Linked DNA regions of Mus musculus. The protein of the gene in region 5 interacts with the protein of the main gene of each other region in a pairwise test. Links are inferred from orthologs where the notes say so. Each region holds a gene or a part of one and is shown on either strand. Other genes may lie near its edges. The genes, in order: Gabarapl2, Plp1, Pln, Tmem86b and Bcl2l13.

What was found.
Region 1: the proteins of Bcl2l13 (region 5) and Gabarapl2 interact in binary tests that used the Homo sapiens proteins (3 or more experiments, as listed by UniProt). The two-hybrid records come from large-scale screens. The link is inferred for Mus musculus from reciprocal best matches to the Homo sapiens genes BCL2L13 and GABARAPL2.
Region 2: the proteins of Bcl2l13 (region 5) and Plp1 interact in binary tests that used the Homo sapiens proteins (3 or more experiments, as listed by UniProt). The two-hybrid records come from large-scale screens. The link is inferred for Mus musculus from reciprocal best matches to the Homo sapiens genes BCL2L13 and PLP1.
Region 3: the proteins of Bcl2l13 (region 5) and Pln interact in binary tests that used the Homo sapiens proteins (3 or more experiments, as listed by UniProt). The two-hybrid records come from large-scale screens. The link is inferred for Mus musculus from reciprocal best matches to the Homo sapiens genes BCL2L13 and PLN.
Region 4: the proteins of Bcl2l13 (region 5) and Tmem86b interact in binary tests that used the Homo sapiens proteins (3 or more experiments, as listed by UniProt). The two-hybrid records come from large-scale screens. The link is inferred for Mus musculus from reciprocal best matches to the Homo sapiens genes BCL2L13 and TMEM86B.

Annotation. Positions count from the first base shown.
Region 1 is NC_000074.6:111,939,405-111,943,508, reverse strand, and holds the start of Gabarapl2 (gamma-aminobutyric acid receptor-associated protein-like 2), read right to left. Parts: upstream 2,807-4,104; 5' UTR 2,691-2,806; coding exon 2,657-2,690; intron 2,350-2,656; coding exon 2,294-2,349; intron 1,008-2,293; coding exon 835-1,007; intron 1-834. UniProt on the Homo sapiens protein: Ubiquitin-like modifier involved in intra-Golgi traffic. Modulates intra-Golgi transport through coupling between NSF activity and SNAREs activation. It first stimulates the ATPase activity of NSF which in turn stimulates the association with GOSR1.
Region 2 is NC_000086.7:136,821,435-136,825,567, forward strand, and holds the start of Plp1 (myelin proteolipid protein), read left to right. Parts: upstream 1-1,323; 5' UTR 1,324-1,479; coding exon 1,480-1,483; intron 1,484-4,133.
Region 3 is NC_000076.6:53,343,591-53,346,511, reverse strand, and holds the end of Pln (cardiac phospholamban), read right to left. Parts: intron 2,756-2,921; 5' UTR 2,649-2,755; coding exon 2,490-2,648; 3' UTR 513-2,489; downstream 1-512. UniProt on the Homo sapiens protein: Reversibly inhibits the activity of ATP2A2/SERCA2 in cardiac sarcoplasmic reticulum by decreasing the apparent affinity of the ATPase for Ca(2+).
Region 4 is NC_000073.6:4,627,676-4,631,877, forward strand, and holds Tmem86b (lysoplasmalogenase), read right to left. Parts: upstream 2,808-4,202; 5' UTR 2,664-2,807; coding exon of another isoform or gene 2,598-2,663; coding exon 2,547-2,597; coding exon of another isoform or gene 2,532-2,546; intron 2,128-2,531; coding exon 1,881-2,127; intron 1,079-1,880; coding exon 696-1,078; 3' UTR 365-695; downstream 1-364. UniProt on the Homo sapiens protein: Catalyzes the hydrolysis of the vinyl ether bond of choline or ethanolamine lysoplasmalogens, forming fatty aldehyde and glycerophosphocholine or glycerophosphoethanolamine, respectively and is specific for the sn-2-deacylated (lyso) form of plasmalogen.
Region 5 is NC_000072.6:120,884,724-120,888,237, forward strand, and holds part of Bcl2l13 (bcl-2-like protein 13), read left to right. Parts: intron 1-1,954; coding exon 1,955-2,668; 3' UTR 2,669-3,514. UniProt on the Homo sapiens protein: May promote the activation of caspase-3 and apoptosis.

The DNA.
Region 1 (4,104 bases), on a different chromosome or scaffold from region 5:
CAAGAAAAATCAAGAGGCAAGACCAACGTGTGAATACTTCATTCATCCTTGGGATAGGTAACAAAACACCCATGGAAGGAGTTAGAGACAAAGTTTGGAGCTAAGACAAAAGGATGGACTATCCAGAGACTACCCCACCCAGTGATCCATCCCATAATCAGTTACCAAACCCAGACACTATTGCATATGCCAGAAAGATTTTGCGGAAAGGACCCTGATATAGCTTCAGTGAGGCTATGCCAGTGCCTAGCAAATACAGAAGTGGATGCTGCTCACAGTCATCTATAGGATGGAACATAGGGGCCCCAATGGAGGAGCCAGAGAAAGTACCCAAGGAGCTGAAGGGGGTCTGCAACCCTATAGGTGGAACAACAAAATGAACTAACCAGTACCCCCAGAGCTTGTGTCTCTAGCTGCATATGTAGCAGAAGATGGCTTAGTTGGCCATCATTGGAAAGAGAGGCCCCTTGGTCTTGCAAACTTTATATGCCTCAGTACAGGGGAACGCCAGGGCCAAGAAGTGTGAGTGGGTGGGTAGGGGAGCAGGGCATGGGGGGAGGTATAAGGAACTTTCCGGATAACATTTGAAATGTAAATAAAGAAAATATCTAATTAAAAAAAGGAGGAAATAAACTATCTTGAAAAACCAAAAGAGAGAAAGAGGGAGGGATAGGGAAAGAGAGGAAGGGAGGGAGGGAGGGAGGGAAGGAAAGAAGGAAGGAAGGAAGGAAAAGGAAAGGAAGAAGTTGTACTAAGAACACCTCCTATGGTTTGAGTTTTATAAGCGGCGAATGGATTTCCAAGCCACAGGCCCAGCTAGCAAACACTTCTTACCTGGACTGTGGGACTGTCTTGTCCACAAACAGGAAGATGGCCTTCTCGGAGGGAAGCTGGATCCTTTTCCTGATGATCCACATGAACTGAGCCACAGTGATGTCCGAGGGGACCAAGTACTTCCTCTTGTCTATGTCAACAATCTGAGAGCCCGAGACTTTTTCCACGATCACCTGGGAAAGACGGGTCAGAAGCTCAGGCCAGTCCTCCACAGAGCAACTTTTGCCTGGAATCCACAAAGGCTGCTACCTGGTTCCCAGCACTGTGAGAGGGACGGCGAGGGAGAGCGAGCTCCAGCACTTACCCACAGGGCTTGATTGCTCCAGTCTGATGAGCAGAGTGTGGACAAGGCAGTGTGTGGGAAACGGCACAGATGAGTAAATCAATATGCCCACAGCTCAAGAAGCCCCGCTCTGGAGGCCCAGAGCTGACTGATATTCCTCATTTCTGATCTCAGCGTTTGTAAGAGAAGCACAGCTACAAAGCTTTCTATCTTCTTCCAGAGACAGGGTCTCTCTGTTAGTCCCAGATGTCCTGGAACTGTAGACCAGGCTGTCCCCAAACTCTGAGATCAGCTGCCTCTGACCCCTGAATGTTGGGACTGAAGGCACGTGCCACCCCACTGCAAGGGTAGCTCTCTAACATTTTATCTAGGCCGATGAAAAGATTGATCTGGCTAGGGTTTCATCTGTCATCTTTTGATCCATAGATAGACCCTGTTAGAGCATTCCAATCCCCAACAACACTGGAAAGAAATGGATGAACTAAGGGCAAAGCTATACAACTACAGCCACCCAAGAGCCGACATTTTCATTTGGCCTGTTGCTTCTCTCTGAACAGTTAACATTTATCCTCCTGCTTCTCAAAGGGACTGTTTACAAGCAAAGCACTACAATAGTAAGACTTTATGTCCTTCAAAAATCAATAGTGATATCAGAAACGATCGCCCCAACTAGGGCAGAAAGCAGAAATAAAGCAACATACTTATTGATTAGAGGCAAAACGAGAGCATTTCAGATTTGTTAGTCAAACAAGGATGGCAGAATCAGGGTAAAGAGAAACTCGAAGTTAAAGGTCCAGCGTTAAAGATGACTACCTTGAAAGGATGCTACCGTATCCAACCCCAAATGCCAGTCTCCCTCCACCATCATTCCCCAAAGTGGCAGTGACCTGTTGCCCTGTCCTAGAACACGGTTCCTTACATAATTGGTGAGGGAGCCGAGAGGCTGCAAGCAGCTTGCTGCCCTAGATCGGGAGATTCAGCACTGGTGCCCCTGGACAGCACCAGCCCCTTAAGCCCCAAGCTTGGGCCGGCGGAACCCCAGGCTGTCCTCGGTCTCTGGGCTACACCTTGAGACCTTAAGTTCTCAACTGTTGCACGGCCTAGCGCGCCCGCCCGACACCTCTCCTAGACGCTAAGGGTGACAGCGGGGTGAGGGGGCGGGGAGTCCACACTCACCGGAACTCGGTCGGGGTACTTCGCTCTGATCTTCGCGGATTCCACGCATCTGTGTTCTGGGGAAGAAGAAAACCAGGCTGACATTCGCACTTGCCGGACAGCAGGGCCGCCGCTGCCGGAACCCCTTCTTCCTGTCCGCCCTTCTCCGCCCGCAACCTGCCTGCGTGCGTACGCCCCGAGTCCTAGCCCCGGAGTCCCTCGCCACAGATCCCCTCAGGAACTCCCAGCGAGATCCACGTAGGGCGACACGGGTCCGTGGGAGGCGCCAGGATGCCGGGGCCTTGGCGACCCAGCGGGCCCGGCAGGGCGGCGGGAGTGGGGGAGGGGCCGCGATCTGGGGCCCCGCAGGCCGACCGCGCTTACCCAGAGAGTGGTCCTCCTTAAACATCCACTTCATGGCGACGGGAAGCGACGGAGCCGGCTCTTCGAGCCGCGGACTTCGGCGAAGCGACCACAACAACAACGGAGGCGGCGGCGGCAGCGACGACTACTCCACAGGCGGGACTTCCGGCTGCCGGAGCCTAGCAACCTCCCGGGGCGGGGCTTCCGGCGGGCCTGGTAAGAGCTTCAGTAGGCTACGATTACGTGAGAGGGCGGAGCCTAAGCGGAGACCTAGGAGCGCTCCTGGGAATGGAGACTGACGTAGGTGGCTGGGAAGTCTGTGAGTGACAGTGGAGACTTTAGGAATTAGTGACTGGAATGGAGTTTCAGGATTGTGCATGACAGGCAGGTCATGGCTCATAGCTTGGAACGCTTGTAAAGGGCTCTGGAAGGGGAAGTCTGGGGCTTAAGGAGAAATGAATATTAATTTTTGGCTGGGTGAGAAGGCGGGAGCTCGGCATGGAGGGATAACCTGTTCCAAGCGCTGTGTGCAACGAGTACTGGTGACCACCTAGAGGTCTAGTATAGGAGTTGTTGCACCTAAAATTTGATTTAAACAAATCTCACTTCCCACTCACGAATACATATTTTAAACATTCATGAACACTTATGAACAAGTACCACACATACTCATTTAGTCAACGGAATATCCCTGATCACAGAGATTCTTTATCGGAAACTGTCAGAGGCGAAGTGCCAGTGTCAGGCGGGGAGGATTCCTGGGAGAGCTGGTCATAAGACACCCTAGGAGAAGGAGCTGGCAGTGGGAGTGGCTCGGCACTAACCCTGAGCTGTGGGTGTCACCTGCCCTAGGCACAAGCCTCGAGGTTCCACCCCTGTCCAAGTCGTAGCATAGTCATCCAGGAAGTCGGCTCTGGGTCACCATCTGTTTATGCACTGGTGAACACAGAACATGAATATGCAGTTAATCGGCCACCTGACCACGTGCTTATATGATCTGCCGCATCTGTAGAGCCAGTGTTTGAACCTTGTCATCAATCATTCCCTACAGTTGAAATTCCTGATAGATGCTGTGGCTATAACTTCATTCTGAAAGTATTTGTTATTTTCCACTGGGGGGAGGGGAGAGACTCAGTTCCCAGCAGGTAAAAACGCTTGGTGCCAAGCCTGCCAGACGGAGTTCAATCCTGAGGACCCAAGTGATGGAGGACAACCTGTTTACAAAGGTTATCTTCTGGCCTCAAGGCATTCACTGTGGCAAGCCTCCATACACATACACACCCAGATGCAGGGAAGATAATGAAAATCTTAAGGAAAAAAAAATTTAATTTAAAGAACTTTTAAAACTTTGTGTTAGCTGGGTGTGGTGGCCCATGCCTTTAATCCCAGTACTTGGCAGGCAGGTGGATTTCTGAGTTCAAGGCCAGCCTAGTCTACAGAGTGAGTTCCCAGACAGCCAGGGCTACACA
Region 2 (4,133 bases), on a different chromosome or scaffold from region 5:
AGTCCAGAGTTGTAGGTCCTACTCAGTTTTCCTCCTCTATTGTCTCTTATCTCAAGACAAAAACCACAGGACAAGTTCAGGAGGACATACCTTATTTTTTAGAGGTATAGAAATGACAAGTTCCACAACTTTCCTTAGAGCCATTCAGCAGTAGAATCTTGCTTCTAAATCAAGAGGGTTATGAGTGTGAGGCTTCTGAGGTGAGAGAGAAGATAGACAAAGAAACCACATAAGCGCTCCTTAAGGTGCACCTGTTTTAGAAAGGACTAGAAAAGTTTGCCTAGCTAACATCACCTTTTATATTTGGTTCCTTCACAGACGTCAGAAATCACTCTTACCATTGTAAATGGTTCACAAATACTTCCCCTCTTTTTACTGCTTGGCCATATTTTTTCATAGAATCCTCTTTGAGACAAGGACTGTATTTTCTTTCTCCCCCCCCCCCCAACTCTGACTGCTGCTTTCCCAAACGCTCCTTCCGTCTCCTTAGCCTCATCTTCACTCTGATGGGAACACTATTTCCTGGGAAGAGTTTTGACTAGCTGCTTGCCAGTTTGTGATAATGTCTTGTCTCAGAGTTCATTTTCCTTGAAAATTGCCTACATGGTCCACTCTGGCCTTTTTGTCCCTTGTGACCTTGGCACAGGTCTTGCCCTCTCCTTTGTATCTCTGTTATCCAAATGTACTCTCATTGCACGTCTGGCTTTTTTGAGCCTGGTCACACACAGTCTGTTCATAGAATCAGCAGCTGGTTCTATCTGCATTCTTCTAAAACCAAAGCTTTTGAAGAAATTATTTTAAATGACTTTTTTTCTTCCCCATTGTGTTTCCAGTGCCAGGAAGAGAAAGAATGCTTTTTTTGCTTACAGAGGAAAGGAAAGGTTCCATGGTCAAGGGCAACGAGCAGTGAGAGTTGGGTGCGGTGTGTTTGGTAGTATAGTAAGTAGGCTTTTGATTCAGACCCCCTTCTCATCAGGGCTACTATTTCACATGACTTTACATGCTCAGACCCAGGTATGACACATTTAAATGGACCCAAGGATCATTTGGGAGGATTCAAGAACCCCTCCATTTAATTTACACCCCTAATTCACACTTCCTGATTTATTTAAAGCAAAATGAAATTCTAGAGAAGCTTTAGGGGGGAAAAGAGAGAGAAAGAAAAAAAACAATTGGGAGTGAAAAGGCATAAAGAGAAGATGGAGCCCTTAAAGAAGGGAGTATCCCAAAGGAGGTGGGGACAAGGGGAGGAGAAGGGGAGGAGGAGAGGAGGAGGGAAACGAGCCTGTCTCTTTAAGGGGGTTGGCTGTCAATCAGAAAGCCCTTTTCATTGCAGGAGAAGAGGACAAAGATACTCAGAGAGAAAAAGTAAAGGACAGAAGAAGGAGACTGGAGAGACCAGGATCCTTCCAGCTGAGCAAAGTCAGCCGCAAAACAGACTAGCCAACAGGCTACAATTGGAGTCAGAGTGCCAAAGACATGGGTGAGTTTCAAAAACTCCAGCATCAAAGATGCAGGCACAGGAGTTCAACTTTGGGGCTTTGGGTTTCCAGTGGCTTAAATAAGTTGTGTTTTGGCACTTATTTTCTGTTTTAATTTCTTAGCATTTAACTGTATTAACCCCTTCTCTGCTGTGCTGAGCATACTGCTTCACTGCCAACGAATCCTGGCAGTACATGTGGTGTCTTCCAGACCTTTGGAAAATGCACACAGGTTGGCTATGATCATGTGGCTTCTTACCCCTCACTTCCTTGTCCTCTCTCCTTTCCCCGATCTTAAGGCCCTGATTATGGTCAGGTTGTGTGGGACCCCTTGTTCTGCTGGAGGCAACTTGAATATTGACTAAGCTACAAATGCATTAAGTACTTGCTTCCCTGATACAAACTTCAAAGCATGTTTTGCATCAGTAGGATGTGGAGGAATGGGGAAAATTGGACTCAGACTTGGCAGTGCCTATAGTGGACATTCCAGGTTCAGAAAATGAAAATACAGTTCACAGTGGTTTTACCATGCGGAATAGATATGGATTGTATGTGCTTGTGTATGCTTGTGTGTACGGATGCATGTGAGCACACACATATAGGACAACATTTCTAGTATCATGGACTTACCCTTAATCCCAGATATAACAAGGAGGCTTCTATCTAAAGGCTTTTGTTAAGTTGTCTGAGACCTGAGGGTTTTTCTATGTTCCACAACTATGGAAGATGTAAAATTCTGCTGTCCAGCAGTGCCTGTTCAGAGTAAGGTGTGTGGGGCATAAGGGTCTTTGCCTAGGTAAGATGCTGCAGAGATAGGTACTTATTGCTCACATGTGGGGAAGATAAAAGTAGCAACTTGAACACATCCTGAAGGAGAGGAGATTCAGTTTTCCTGTGTGTTCACCGTGCAACTTTGTAACCAGTAAAAAGATCCACAGAAGTAGTTTTTCAATTAGAAACTGAACTGTTGTTAACCTTGGCTTTTTTCATCTCAAGTCACTGAGGGAACTGTTACAAGTATATATGTAGGCAGGATAGTTAAGAGGGTGGCGTCTTAGACTACTGGTCCAAACAACCAGGTTTGGATCTCAGCTCAGTCTCTAAGGAACTCTGCAAAATTAGGCATGTCACCATGAATCACCATTTCATCATCTGGTAGACAGGGGCAACAATAACTGTTTTGTCTACTTTCAGGGTGGAAGATCAAGTAATAAGGATGTGGCAGCCCTGTCAGTGTAGAGAAGTCCTATAAACCCTGTAAATTCTGATGACAACGACTACTCTGCACCAGTGCATATCTAGGCTAACCCTTCCTCTTTGCAAGGTTGTCTTTGTGCATACCTTGTATGTAAGAAACATTTGATCTCGTAAATGTAGCAAGATGGGAAAAAGTCACTTCCTGCTCTGGACCCAGGAACCCTATCTAACATTCATGTGGCTGATTAAATAGGTTGTTCTTTCAAAACAGAGGAGGAGTGTAAGTTGAATTACTTCCTCAGGGGATAAGGCCCTGAAGAGATAAAGACAGGAAGAGAGAAAATGACCAGAGGAGCATGTTCTTGTAATGGAGGCTGAATGATCTCCCCCAGAGGATGTGGATGTGGGTGGGTAAGCAATACATGGACTAGGGATACAGGACAGAATAGCCACTGTCTCTGCAATCACTCAGTAACACAGTATCTGAGACCATGTGAATTTTCAGCCATTTCTGACCAGGCAGTGGAATGCTATTGCTTCTGATGTGGAATGCTGTTCAACCCTTGCAATAGACCAGTCAAATCATAGAGTTTGGAATTGAAAGGAACATTGGAACGTATCTGAGGTGGAGTTCTGTGTGGTGTCACATGCCTTTAACACCATAGGAAACTGAGATGGGAGAATCATTAGAAAAGGCTAGCTAGACAACATAGAGAGACTCTGATTCCAAAAGAAGTTGTCTGAACCAACTTTCAATGCAGAATTCATTTCTCTGACTAAGATAAATATACATATGTCTCTGCTTAATCGCCTCCAGAAACAGGCAGCTTATTACCTCAACCAGAAAATCTCTTAGGATTGGAACTGAGCAAGACTATTGGGTCCGGTGATACCTGAGCAAAAGGGTTATGGGCTGTGGAATAGCTTGGCAAGGAGACACTTCACATGAGTCTTTGGAATAGCAACGGAACTGAGAAAGCCAGAGAGCCATAGTGAATATTTTTCTGCTCAGTAACAATGCCATCAGTGAACAGCAAGACACCTGGTTCCTCGAGCTTTTTGTCATCTGAGAACAGCAGCCGTTACCCTGGCAACCAGACTGTGCATCTTAGATGCTTCCCTCTAAGAGTGGCTTGAAAGTACAAAATGTGGAGGCAGAGCAGAGGCTGAGAATTCTACTAGGTACCTGAGGACTATCTGGATGCCATCAAAGGCACCACAAGAAAGCTAAGACTTAAGAAGAAAGCAGGTTTAGACCAGTACATTAAAGGACTCTTCCTAGAGACGCTGACTGAAGTGATCAAGGGCAGCCTTCACCACGCCACTTCTTACCTTGCTCTGCCTAGCTAGAAGCTCTTGAAAGACTAGAGAGATTAAGCAATTTGCCCTGCTTTGAGGGGCTTTACCTTAGCCCTGAGCCAGGACCCCAAGAAACCTAGTCAACAATAAGGTCCC
Region 3 (2,921 bases), on a different chromosome or scaffold from region 5:
ATTAAATAACATAAAAGACTTCTTCGAAATGAATTGTGAATGAAAAAGTCTGGCTTGTAACTCGGATTTTCTTATGTTTTTTTAAAAAGAAAATTTTCTTAGTTTCATTATTTTTCATGCTGTTTTATCTTTAACTCTTTAGCTGAGACAATCTGTATACTGAGGAGGTGACTATGACACATGCAGTCACAGTTTGTGACATAGTGGGTAGCTTAAAGCATCTGCTAGTGGATACATGCTTTACGGATTGATTTGTCTATCTCTATTTCCATGTCTATATAATTTATCATGTCCTTTCAAGACATTAAAAATCTGGTATTAGTGTGTAACCAAGCCTTCTTATGTTACTGATTGCACTCCTACTTTGCCAGAAGACTCAAAATAATTGGAGGCTAAAAAATATTATTATGTGTAGGCCTATCCTCTTTTGTGTTTTTCTCTGGAAATCTTGATTTTTACTTTGTTTGGTAAAAGTTCCCCCACTCTGCCCTTTATAACACAAAACTCTTTGTAACAAGACAACATTTTATAGTCAATAGAATATAATTGTATAGTAATTTCACCAAAATCAAAACTCCATTTGAATATAGGTCATTCCAATTTCATTTTACAGATAAACAGTTACAGATAAACTACAAATAAACTACTAAAAATGTAAAAGGCAGCATTAAATGTTTAATGAGAAGAGCCTTATGAGCTGACAGTTTATACCTTGAAGTTGATGTGGTAGTGAGCAATATAACAAATGCCTGGTGCTTTTCAGCTTCAGCGTCACGTTTCTCTCAGCATGGCCAACTACACAACTTATGTATTTTTTACAGACCTCTTACCAGTGGTTCTCAACCTGTGGGTTGCAACCCCTCATGCAAACCTGTTTCCAAAATATTTACAATTCATAGTGGAGGTAAGGAGGCGAAATTACAGTTATGAAATAGCAACAAAAATGATTTTATTGTTGGGTATCACCACAACATGAGGAACTATATAAAAGGGCCACAGCGTCAGAAAGGGAACGTTAAATACCACTGAGTTAGAGATGATGTCATCCATGTTTTATAGTTTCTGTGATGGGCCCCTCCAGCCTTTATGAAGAGACCCCCTGTTACCATTGGACTCCTTTAGGGGCTACTCTTTAGATAATTTCTGAACCCGAACAGCTTCCTTTCTACCAGGGGTTCAAACAGTTTAAATCAGCAGCCTTCAGCTGCTCTGCTAAAGACCAAAGTGAATACTGATGTTTTATGTCTTTGTAGTAATGGTTATGGAAAATATATCTAATTACAATTCTCTTCCTTAATAATTGCTATGTTAGTAGCATGTTTTGAACTGGACTTAAAAATTGTGGGTTTGCAAAGTTAGGCATAAACTGTTTTGTACTTGATCCAGTTTAAGTCACTAAATTTTGGTGAATATATTTTCCAATCTATTTTTTGCTTCTATTTTAGTAGTTATTGAGAGATAGTAGAAACTTAGAAAGGGAAATTGAAACCATGGTCAGTAAGAATTATACACTAGCTCTCTAGTTCTACTTCTAAAGTTAGGGGACAACCACTTCCTCTCTGGGAGATCAGGAAAAGAAAGAGCTGTGTCTTACTACAGCTTGGTTATTACTGTTATCTTCATTATTTGAGAAACGCTATTAAACCAAGGAGATACATGAGAGCGACAAGCTTCAGGTGAGACTCTGGATCTTTAGTGATTATCACAGCCAACACAGCAAGATGTTCCTGCTTGTTGATCAAACCCTAGAGAGAGCAGATTTGTGGTTAATGTACATGTACATGTACACAGCCCTTGAGCAAAATTAGTGAATAATTTTATATGAGAATATGTTCTTACATTTCCCCCTTTAACTCTCATAAGCTTAAAAATACTAGTGTGTAGAAAAAGGGCACAACATTTTTTCAAGGTATTTGTTCTGACAGTAGTGACCAAGAGATTTGAATCGTCGTCATCATCATCATCGTCGTCATCATCATCATCGTCATCATTGTGTCATCTATGTGAGGACCCAGTGAGCTATTTTCAATAAGAACACTTCATTTAAATGACTATTTTCTACTTTGTGGAGAACTGAAGAACACTTAGTTCCTATAAAAAAGGTAGTGGCAATGCAGTATATATTCCATTTATTCCCCAGACTGGAGCTATAAAGTGACCTTGCTAGAGTTGGATATAGAAAGTGAACTTTTTTGGTAGTGGTGTTTCAAAATTAAAACTCATACTTCATTGTCAGAAATATTTAGGAAAGAAATTTATGAGCCATGTTGAGGAAATTGGCAGCTACATTATGCACACTTAGCCACTGTAAAGTTTGTTTACAAGATCCAGCAGATGAATACACTGGCTAACAATTAGTTTCACTCTTAATCGTGACCCTCACAAAGCTGTTCTCAGCCGGAAGGCAGCGGTGCGTTGCTTCCCCCATGACGGAGTGCTCGGCTTTAAGCTGAGTTGGCATGTTGCAGGTCTGGAGTGGCGGCAGCTCTTCACAGAAGCATCACAATGATGCAGATCAGCAGCAGACATATCAAGATGAGGCAGAAATTGATAAATAGGTTCTGGAGATTCTGACGTGCTTGCTGAGGCATTTCAATAGTGGAGGCTCTCCTGATAGCCGAGCGAGTGAGGTATTGCACTTTTTCCATTATGCCAGGAAGGCAAAAGTAGGGAGACAAGTTTTTCTAAGTGGTCAAGAGAAAGATAAAAAGTTGACAACAGGCAGCCAAATGTGAGCTGTCTTCTTTTAGGAGACCTGGGATGTAAAAAATAGTCAACAGATTAGGTTCATACCTAAACCCGTTCTCTGGGTAGATATGCACAGCTTTGCAGCAGCTCGTTCCTCAGCTGTATTTTAAATCCCATCCCCTTCTCCAGTCCCCAAGGCCTCTCTTCTGTCTCTCATGTGTGAGCGTCTCACT
Region 4 (4,202 bases), on a different chromosome or scaffold from region 5:
GGGGGAGGGCCCATTGTGGGTGGTCCTTGGGCTGGTAGTCTTGGGTTCTATAAGAGAGCAAGCTGAGCAAGGCAGAGGAAGCAAACCAGTAAGAAACATCCCTCCATGGCGTCTGCATCAGCTCCTGCTTCCTGCCCAGCTTGAGTTCCAGTCCTGACTTCCCTTGGTGATCAACAGCAATGTGGAAGTGTAAGCTGAATAAACCCTTTCCTCCCCAACTTGCTTCTTGGTCATGATGTTTTATCCAGGAATAGAAACCCTAAGACTCACACCTAAATCATTTTTTTTCCCCTAAATCCATGCTTGCTGTTAGAACTGTCATCATCCCCCTATACATTCCTCCCAAATAATGGTGACACTGATGTTCCAACACTCATTTTACTTAAACAGCTAGAACCAGATCTGGAGCAGTGTGAAGGGGCAGGTGGATAGGAAAGGCTGACTGGGAAAAGGAAGTGGGCATGGGGAGGGGAAGACAGGATATGGGTTGGGTTGAGGGTCCTGGAATCCAGAAGAAGCCAGGGAAGGCAGTTTGAAATCAGTGGTAGATCTGAAATTCTGCCAACAGTATACAGATGTTAAAGATGGCCACATATCTGTCAGCATATGACTGGAAGCATTCACTTGCCAGGCTGGGTCAGTGTGGAAAGCCAAGGTCCCTATGGGAGGGGATACCAGGCTGTCTGAGGCCTGCATTAGTGGGTTTTGAGCCCCGGGTTCCTGAGAGCCGACAGGATGAGGAGGAGCTGGGCTGCATAGTAGGTGCTCATGGTCACTAGGCGGGCAAAAGGTAAAGAGTAGACAAAAGTGTCCCAGGCCAGCACACCATCTGAGAATGTAAAGAGCACAGCACCCCAGCTAGCACTTCCACCCCAGACAAGGCTGCGCCACAGCATGGAGTTCAAGATCAGCCCATAGGCCATCACGGGCAAGACCATGCCCTGCTCAAGGTGTAGCAGGAGGAAGCTGTAGTATGTCAGAGAGGCCAAGGTGGTGCACAGCAGCAATCCGGGCTGCAGTGGGGTCAGGCCAAAAGCCCCGAGGTAGAATAAGTGGGCAACAGAGAAGGCTGCCGTGCCTGAAGAAGAGAGGGATGAGAACTCAGTGAGGTAGGGTGGGCACCAATTGGCCTCCTGCTTCTCCCTGTTGTCTTGGCCACAACCAGACATGAACAGTGCCCCCAAAGCACCAGCTCCATCGTGATCTGCTGATTATAGCACTCCTTCTTGATGGGTCTCCAAATTCTTCTTATCCTTGGGTGTTCAATCAGTTCCCAAAGCAATGGTGATAACCTTAAGATGCATGGCATCATGTGCTTGCTCTGCTCAAGTACCTGTCTTTCCAAATCGTGTTCTGGGAAGCCCCATACCCTTGTTTTCCCCATCCTACTCTAGCCAAACTGGCCCATTTGGACAAAGTAACTCATACACTATTACCCCAGGTCCTTTCCACATGCACTTTCCATGCCCAGGATGGCCACACTTCCCATCTACACAGCTACATATCCTTATTCCTGTAATCCTAGCCCTTGAGAAAACTAAGGCAGGAGGATCCAACATTTGAGGCCATTCAGACCAGCCCTCATATATAGACATCTCAAAAATGACTCCTTACCTCCCCCACCCACCTCAGTCATGCTACACCTTAATTTTCTCCACACCACCCCTTCCAACCAGGTAATCCCACATCTTCCAACCAGTCTGACTCCAAGCCCCTGGCTGAACTGTGAGCTATGCTGTCACCCATCACTGCCTTCTGGCACCTCTGGATAACCCAGAGGACCTAGGGAGGGAGGGCTCCATATAATGAAAAGCTGTGTCCCAGTACTGACTCAACTCCACAAGAACCCTAGGTGTGTTGTCATAGAAGCCCCTGCTCACCATAAAAGAAAGCTTCAGGCCAGATGAGGCAGGCATCTCCCACAGCAGAACATACAAGAGCTCCCTGCAGGAGCCAGGTGCTGCTCCCACCAGGGGCCACAGCCCACAGGAACACAACCAGGCAGAGAATGGGCTGGCACTTGATCAGGGCACTGACCCAAGATGGCTGGTCCACAGGAATCCAGAGGAGGAAGTAAAGGGAGCAGGCAAGGATGAAGGGGGCCAGCCACCTGCGGACCTGTGGGTACTTCAAGAGAGCGAAGCTTCTCAGCCTCCCTCCCATTCGCAGCCAGTCCTGGGGGAGGGGTCACTGCAAGGCACTGTAGGAAATGTCTAATTCCAGTACTTAGCAGGTGGAAACGGGAGGCTGTTGATTTCAAAACCTGTCTAGGATACCCAGTGAGAACCTATTTTAACGGCCATCCCCCACACCACCCTCATGCCAGGACCCAAGCATGTCCAGGTTGGACTTTCGGGACTAGGATCTTTAGCCACCTTGAGAACCTTTTCATTCCTATCTCCTGCAAGGACAAAACCACGATACCTTAGAACCCAGCCTCCTGGAAGGACAGGGCATCCCCACCAACTCACCAAGCATAGAGAATCACAGGCCCCAGTACTGCCCATGTTCCCAGACCTGCCCATCCCCACCTTACAGGTTCTCACTTGGTCTGAAAAGAGTGTCTCCAGGGGCAGCCCCTCTTTTCTAGCATCCATGCTGAGTTGCTTCTCTTTAGGAGCCAGTGGCTTCAGAGGGCAGAGGGAAGTCTTGTGGTTACACATTAACCCAAGTGTCCTGTGGACTCTGGGGCTGATAACAGGGCTCACGCAAGGCCTGCTCTTGTCTGGCACTTGCTGATAAGGTACCCATCAGGCACCAAGGGCCACCCCCCAGCACTTAGAAACCTGGCCACCACCTCCAAAAGTGAGCCCCCTCCCCCAAAGTGGAACTCCCATTGTCTCACACCCAGCCAATTATAAGGAACAATGCAAAGTTCCACAGAGGGGTAGCCCTACAACCAACCCTGGAAAACAGGGGTCCTGCCACAAACACTGGTTAAATAAATCCTGCATTGTGCCTGAAGTCATTCAAACATTCCCTGGAAGGAAGGACGACCACACCACTGTACACTCATGTTCTGCAGCCTTCCCATGAACAAGATAGGGACCTACTGGATGCCAAGAAACTACTAGGTTCCTCAACCATCCCCCTTAGGGATGCTTCATTGTATGTCCATTCTCAAGGGAGCTTCCTGTCTCCTAATCTCTCCCACACCTTTGGTTTTTTGTTTTTGGTTTTTTAGATTTATTTATTTATTATATGTAAGTACACTGTCGCTGTCCTCAGACACTCCAGAAGAGGGAGTCAGATCTCGTTACGAATGGTTGTGAGCCACCATGTGGTTGCTGGGATTTGAACTCCTGACCTTTGGAAGAGCAGTCGGGTGCTCTTACCCACTGAGCCATCTCACCAGCCCCCACACCTTTGTTTTTGAGACAGGGTTTCTCTGCCCAGCCCTGGCTGTCCTGGAACTCAGTTTGTAGACATGGCTGGGCTTGAACTCACACAGATCCACCTGCCTCTGCCTCTGCCACCACCACATGCCTGGTGCCTCCTATCCCCGTAATGGCAGGACGCTCAGCTCCAAAGTCCAGGGACCTCTTGCTCCTTTTAGCAGGCCTGTTAGAGGATAGAGCTGAGTCAGCACAGCCCTAACTGATCTGCATTTTGGAACAGGGCCACGGAGGTACACATATCAGGATGAGAGCGCCCCAGAGTGCTAACTCCTGATGTTCTGCCTGATGTCTAAGTATTCCCCATCCCCTACACCCACACACACTCTCACAAGTGTGGTCCTAAGAGAATGTAGCTCTCTAGGCTATGAAGAGCAAGTTCACCCAACTCTGAGTCCCAGAACTCACAGTCCCACAGCAGGAATGTTCTGCTATCTTCCTTTATTTATATCTGCAGTATGAAACACAAGCTCTGCACACATACTTGCACACTCACACCAGCCTTGGGGGGGGCAGGGGGAGCTGGGACAAGGCCACTTGGCAGCAGTGCTGGAACCCTCAGGGCATGGGGTACCCAGCAACCCCCATTCTGGGCCTCTAGGGATGTTCCCCAGGGCCAGGGGCCGGATGACACCCTCTGTTACACCCCAAGGTGGTCCTGAGTGAAGCTGGGTAAGAGCATCTGCACCAGAGCACAGGCCAGCGGCCTCCAACCCCAGCGCCAGCCCCTACTGGGACAGACGGGGAAGGTGTGCTTCAGAGCTGCTGGCCCAGTTATTGTCCTGGCTTTCTTTCTTACTCCTCCCT
Region 5 (3,514 bases):
TATGAAAAATGGCGCTAAGGGAGGCATCCTTTGACGCTTAATAATCACACTCTGTGTGCATGTGGCCCTGGCCTGCCTGGCATTTGTGATTCTCTGTCTCTCTGTCTGTCCCCCCCCCCCCCCAAGAAAAAAAAGAAGAAAACAAAGTGTGTATTGGGAAGTGGCCAGGAGAAAATTGCTCATGAAAATTCTTGCTCAACTTTTACAATTTTTAAAAATTTGTCTTGTGTGTATGGGTATTTTGTCTGCATACCACATGTATGCCCTTGACCTGGAGTTACAGATGGTTGTGAGCCACCATAGTGGTTGTGAGCTGCCATGTGGGTGCTTGGAATTGAACCTGAGTCCTTATCCCCTCAGGCACCTCTCTAGCCCAGTTTTTATACTTCTTAAATTTAATTTTTATGTGTATGGGTATTTTATCTTCATTGCTTCTATGTACTACTTTTGTGCCTGGTGCCTGCTGAAGCCAAAGATGGCATGGATCTTCTGGAACTCAGTAGCAGACTGGAACTCAGTAGCAGACAATTGTGAGCTGCCATGTGGGTGCTGGGAGTTAAATCCAGGCCCTCTGTAAGAGCAGCCAGTGCGCCTACCCTATGAGGCAGCCCTCTGGCCCCTTGCTTGGTTTCCATGTCCTATACATGACCACAGCAGCTAGTAAAGATCTTCATCTCTTTCCTTTCTGAATTGAACCAACACCCCCTGAATCTGAGCGTGTTCCCTTCTCCCCACTCCTCTCCTGCATACTTCCAGCCGTTGAGATTCAGAGGAACCTCCCGAAGGCTAGGCTCATCCTCAGAAGCCGGCAGGCTCAGCAGCACCTCTTCTTTATTTGTTACCTGTTTGCTTCTGAGAGAAAATCTCACAGTGCAGCCCTGACCAATGCCTGTATAGTACTGTGTATTATATTAGAAATTAATGTATAATCATTGTTTTATTATATACCTATTTCCTTATATACCATTGTTTTGTTAGTTTTTTGGTTTGGTTTGGTGTTTTGTTTTCTGAGACAGGATTTTTTGTGTGTATCCTGGGCTTTATTACAACTCACTCTGTAGACCAGGCTGGCCTCGAACCCACAGAGTTCTGCCTGCTTCTGCCTCCCCAGTGCTGGGACTAAATCACACTCCTGGTGTGATTTTTTAAAAAATTTTTATTGTGTGTCAGTGTGAGAGACCACTAGTTATAGATTAAAGTCCTTATTTCTAGCTCAGTCACTCATACTGAACTTCCTCCTCCCCATACACAGTGCAGAGTAAGCAGTTAGCTCTTCCCTGCCAGCCCTTTGGAGCTCTGTGCTTTGGCTGCCGTGTTCCTTCTTGATGGCCATTACTGCGGGAATGCCATGATTTTCCATATTTGCCTTCTCACACCCACAGACCCGTTGTATAAGCTTGCACTAGCACTCGGTCCTGGCAGGGTACTCGGTGGCAATACCTTCAAGAGTGCAATATCTCATTTCCATTTTCTCTGCTGACTTGAGTTAATTGGCTGTATATGATACACAATGAATATCAATTTATAATTTTTTAGTTTCAAGGAAACTAAAATTCTAAACTAAAAATTCTGCCATTTAGCAGGCTGTGGTGGCACAGGTCTGTGATATCAGCACTTGGAAGGCTGAGGCTGGACAGAATATTGAGACTGTTGGGGGAGAGAAAAGGTGTGATCATAATATATTGTATGGATAATCTTTTTTTAATTAAAAGAAAATGTTTAAGGGGGAGGGGTATTTTGAAACCAACTCTAGTAGAAGCATTTTTTTTCAAAAAAAGGAAATAAAGTAAAACTCTTTTCCACATTTTCCTTCAGATGGGTGTTCTCTGCTCAGACACTGTAGGGATCCAGGAGTTTATTTACTCCTGAAACTGAGGTTAGCTAAGAATGATTTTCCTAGGTTAACACGTTCTCACTGTTAACGGTCTTTGTGTGGTCCCCTCTTGTGTTTTAGGGCAGTGTCTTTAGTCTTGAGCCTGAGGAGGAGGAATACCCGGGGATCATTGCGGAAGATAGCAATGACATTTATATACTGCCCAGTGACAACTCCGGACAAGTTAGTCCCCCTGAATCCCCGACAGTGACAACATCCTGGCAGTCGGAGAGCCTTCCCGTCTCACTGTCTGCTAGCCAGAGCTGGCACACAGAAAGCCTCCCGGTGTCGCTCGGGCCCGAGTCCTGGCAGCAGATTGCAATGGACCCTGAAGAAGTGAAGAGCTTAGACAGCAGCGGGGCTGGGGAGAAGAGTGAGAACAACTCGTCCAACTCTGACATCGTGCACGTGGAGAAGGAGGAGGTGCCAGAGGAGGCCTTCCCGGGAGCGGCTGCTCCCTTGCTCACACAGGTCCCTACCGTGGAGGCCCCAGAAATGATGAGAGCTGAGAAAACGAGCCCCACTCCGTCTGTGTTTGTGGAGCTTGGTGAGGAGGAGCTGGAAGCAGTAACAGCGAGACCCGAGGCTGTGGAGAGGGCGGAGGGGGCCGCTCAGCTGAGTGAGGAGAGAGCCGGGAGCAGGAAAAAGAGCCACACTGGGGAGGCCGCCGCTGTCAGGGGGGCAAAGAGTGGCCTGCCCGCCGAGGGCAAGGCCGTACTGCTCTTTGGTGGGGCTGCTGCGGTGGCCATCCTGGCAGTGGCTGTTGGAGTTGCACTGGCTTTAAGAAGAAAGTAACAGTCTTTTCAGATGAGACAAGACAGAAAGACCTACGGCTTTAGCTGTATTCACTGGAACTTAGACTGCCAGCAGCTACTGGACATTTGCAGGACACTGGAGGAATTGGGCTTTCAGCTCAGCGTGGCAGTGTCTTGAGACAGTGTTCACATTGGCCTGGTTGTCATTTTAGGGCCTTGGCTCATGCTAGATTCAGAAGGGCAAGAGTGAAACTCCCACCTCCAACAGGTTAGTCAACTTGGGCAGTAATTCTCTGTAGGAGGCTGCTCTGTGCATTATGTAATGATCGGCAACATCCCTGCCTTCTACCCACTAGATGCCACTGGCACCCACTTACAGTGATGGTAGCCAAAAATGTCTCCTACATTGCCAAATGTCCCCCGTGGACAAAGTCATCTCCCTTTTGAGGGCCACTACTTTAAGGGATAGGGTTCAATTAGGAGACTCTGGGGGAGGAACCTGCAGCTGGGACGGCCTGCTGTTCATCCTGTTGCAGTTTCTCGGGGCAGGTGAGCTGACCGTGCTCTGCAGCTGTTTTCTTTCTGGTCCCCATTCTGTATCGTGAGGTGCTCTCTCCCGCATCACACCACCTCTCAGGTACTGCAGCAGGGCAGTCTCACCCTGTACTTCTTTCCCACCCAACAAGCTCCCGAAGCTCCCCACGGCTCCATCTTTCAAAGATGATGCCTTTAGGGACCTTTAAAATGATAAATACCCAGTCCAGGCGTGGTGGCACCTGCCTGTATTTAGGAAGCGGAAGCAAAGAGATTATCCCAAGTTCAAAGCTAGCCTGGTATATATACCAAGACAATCTGGGGCTGTTTGGTGAAACCTTGTCCCAAGAAA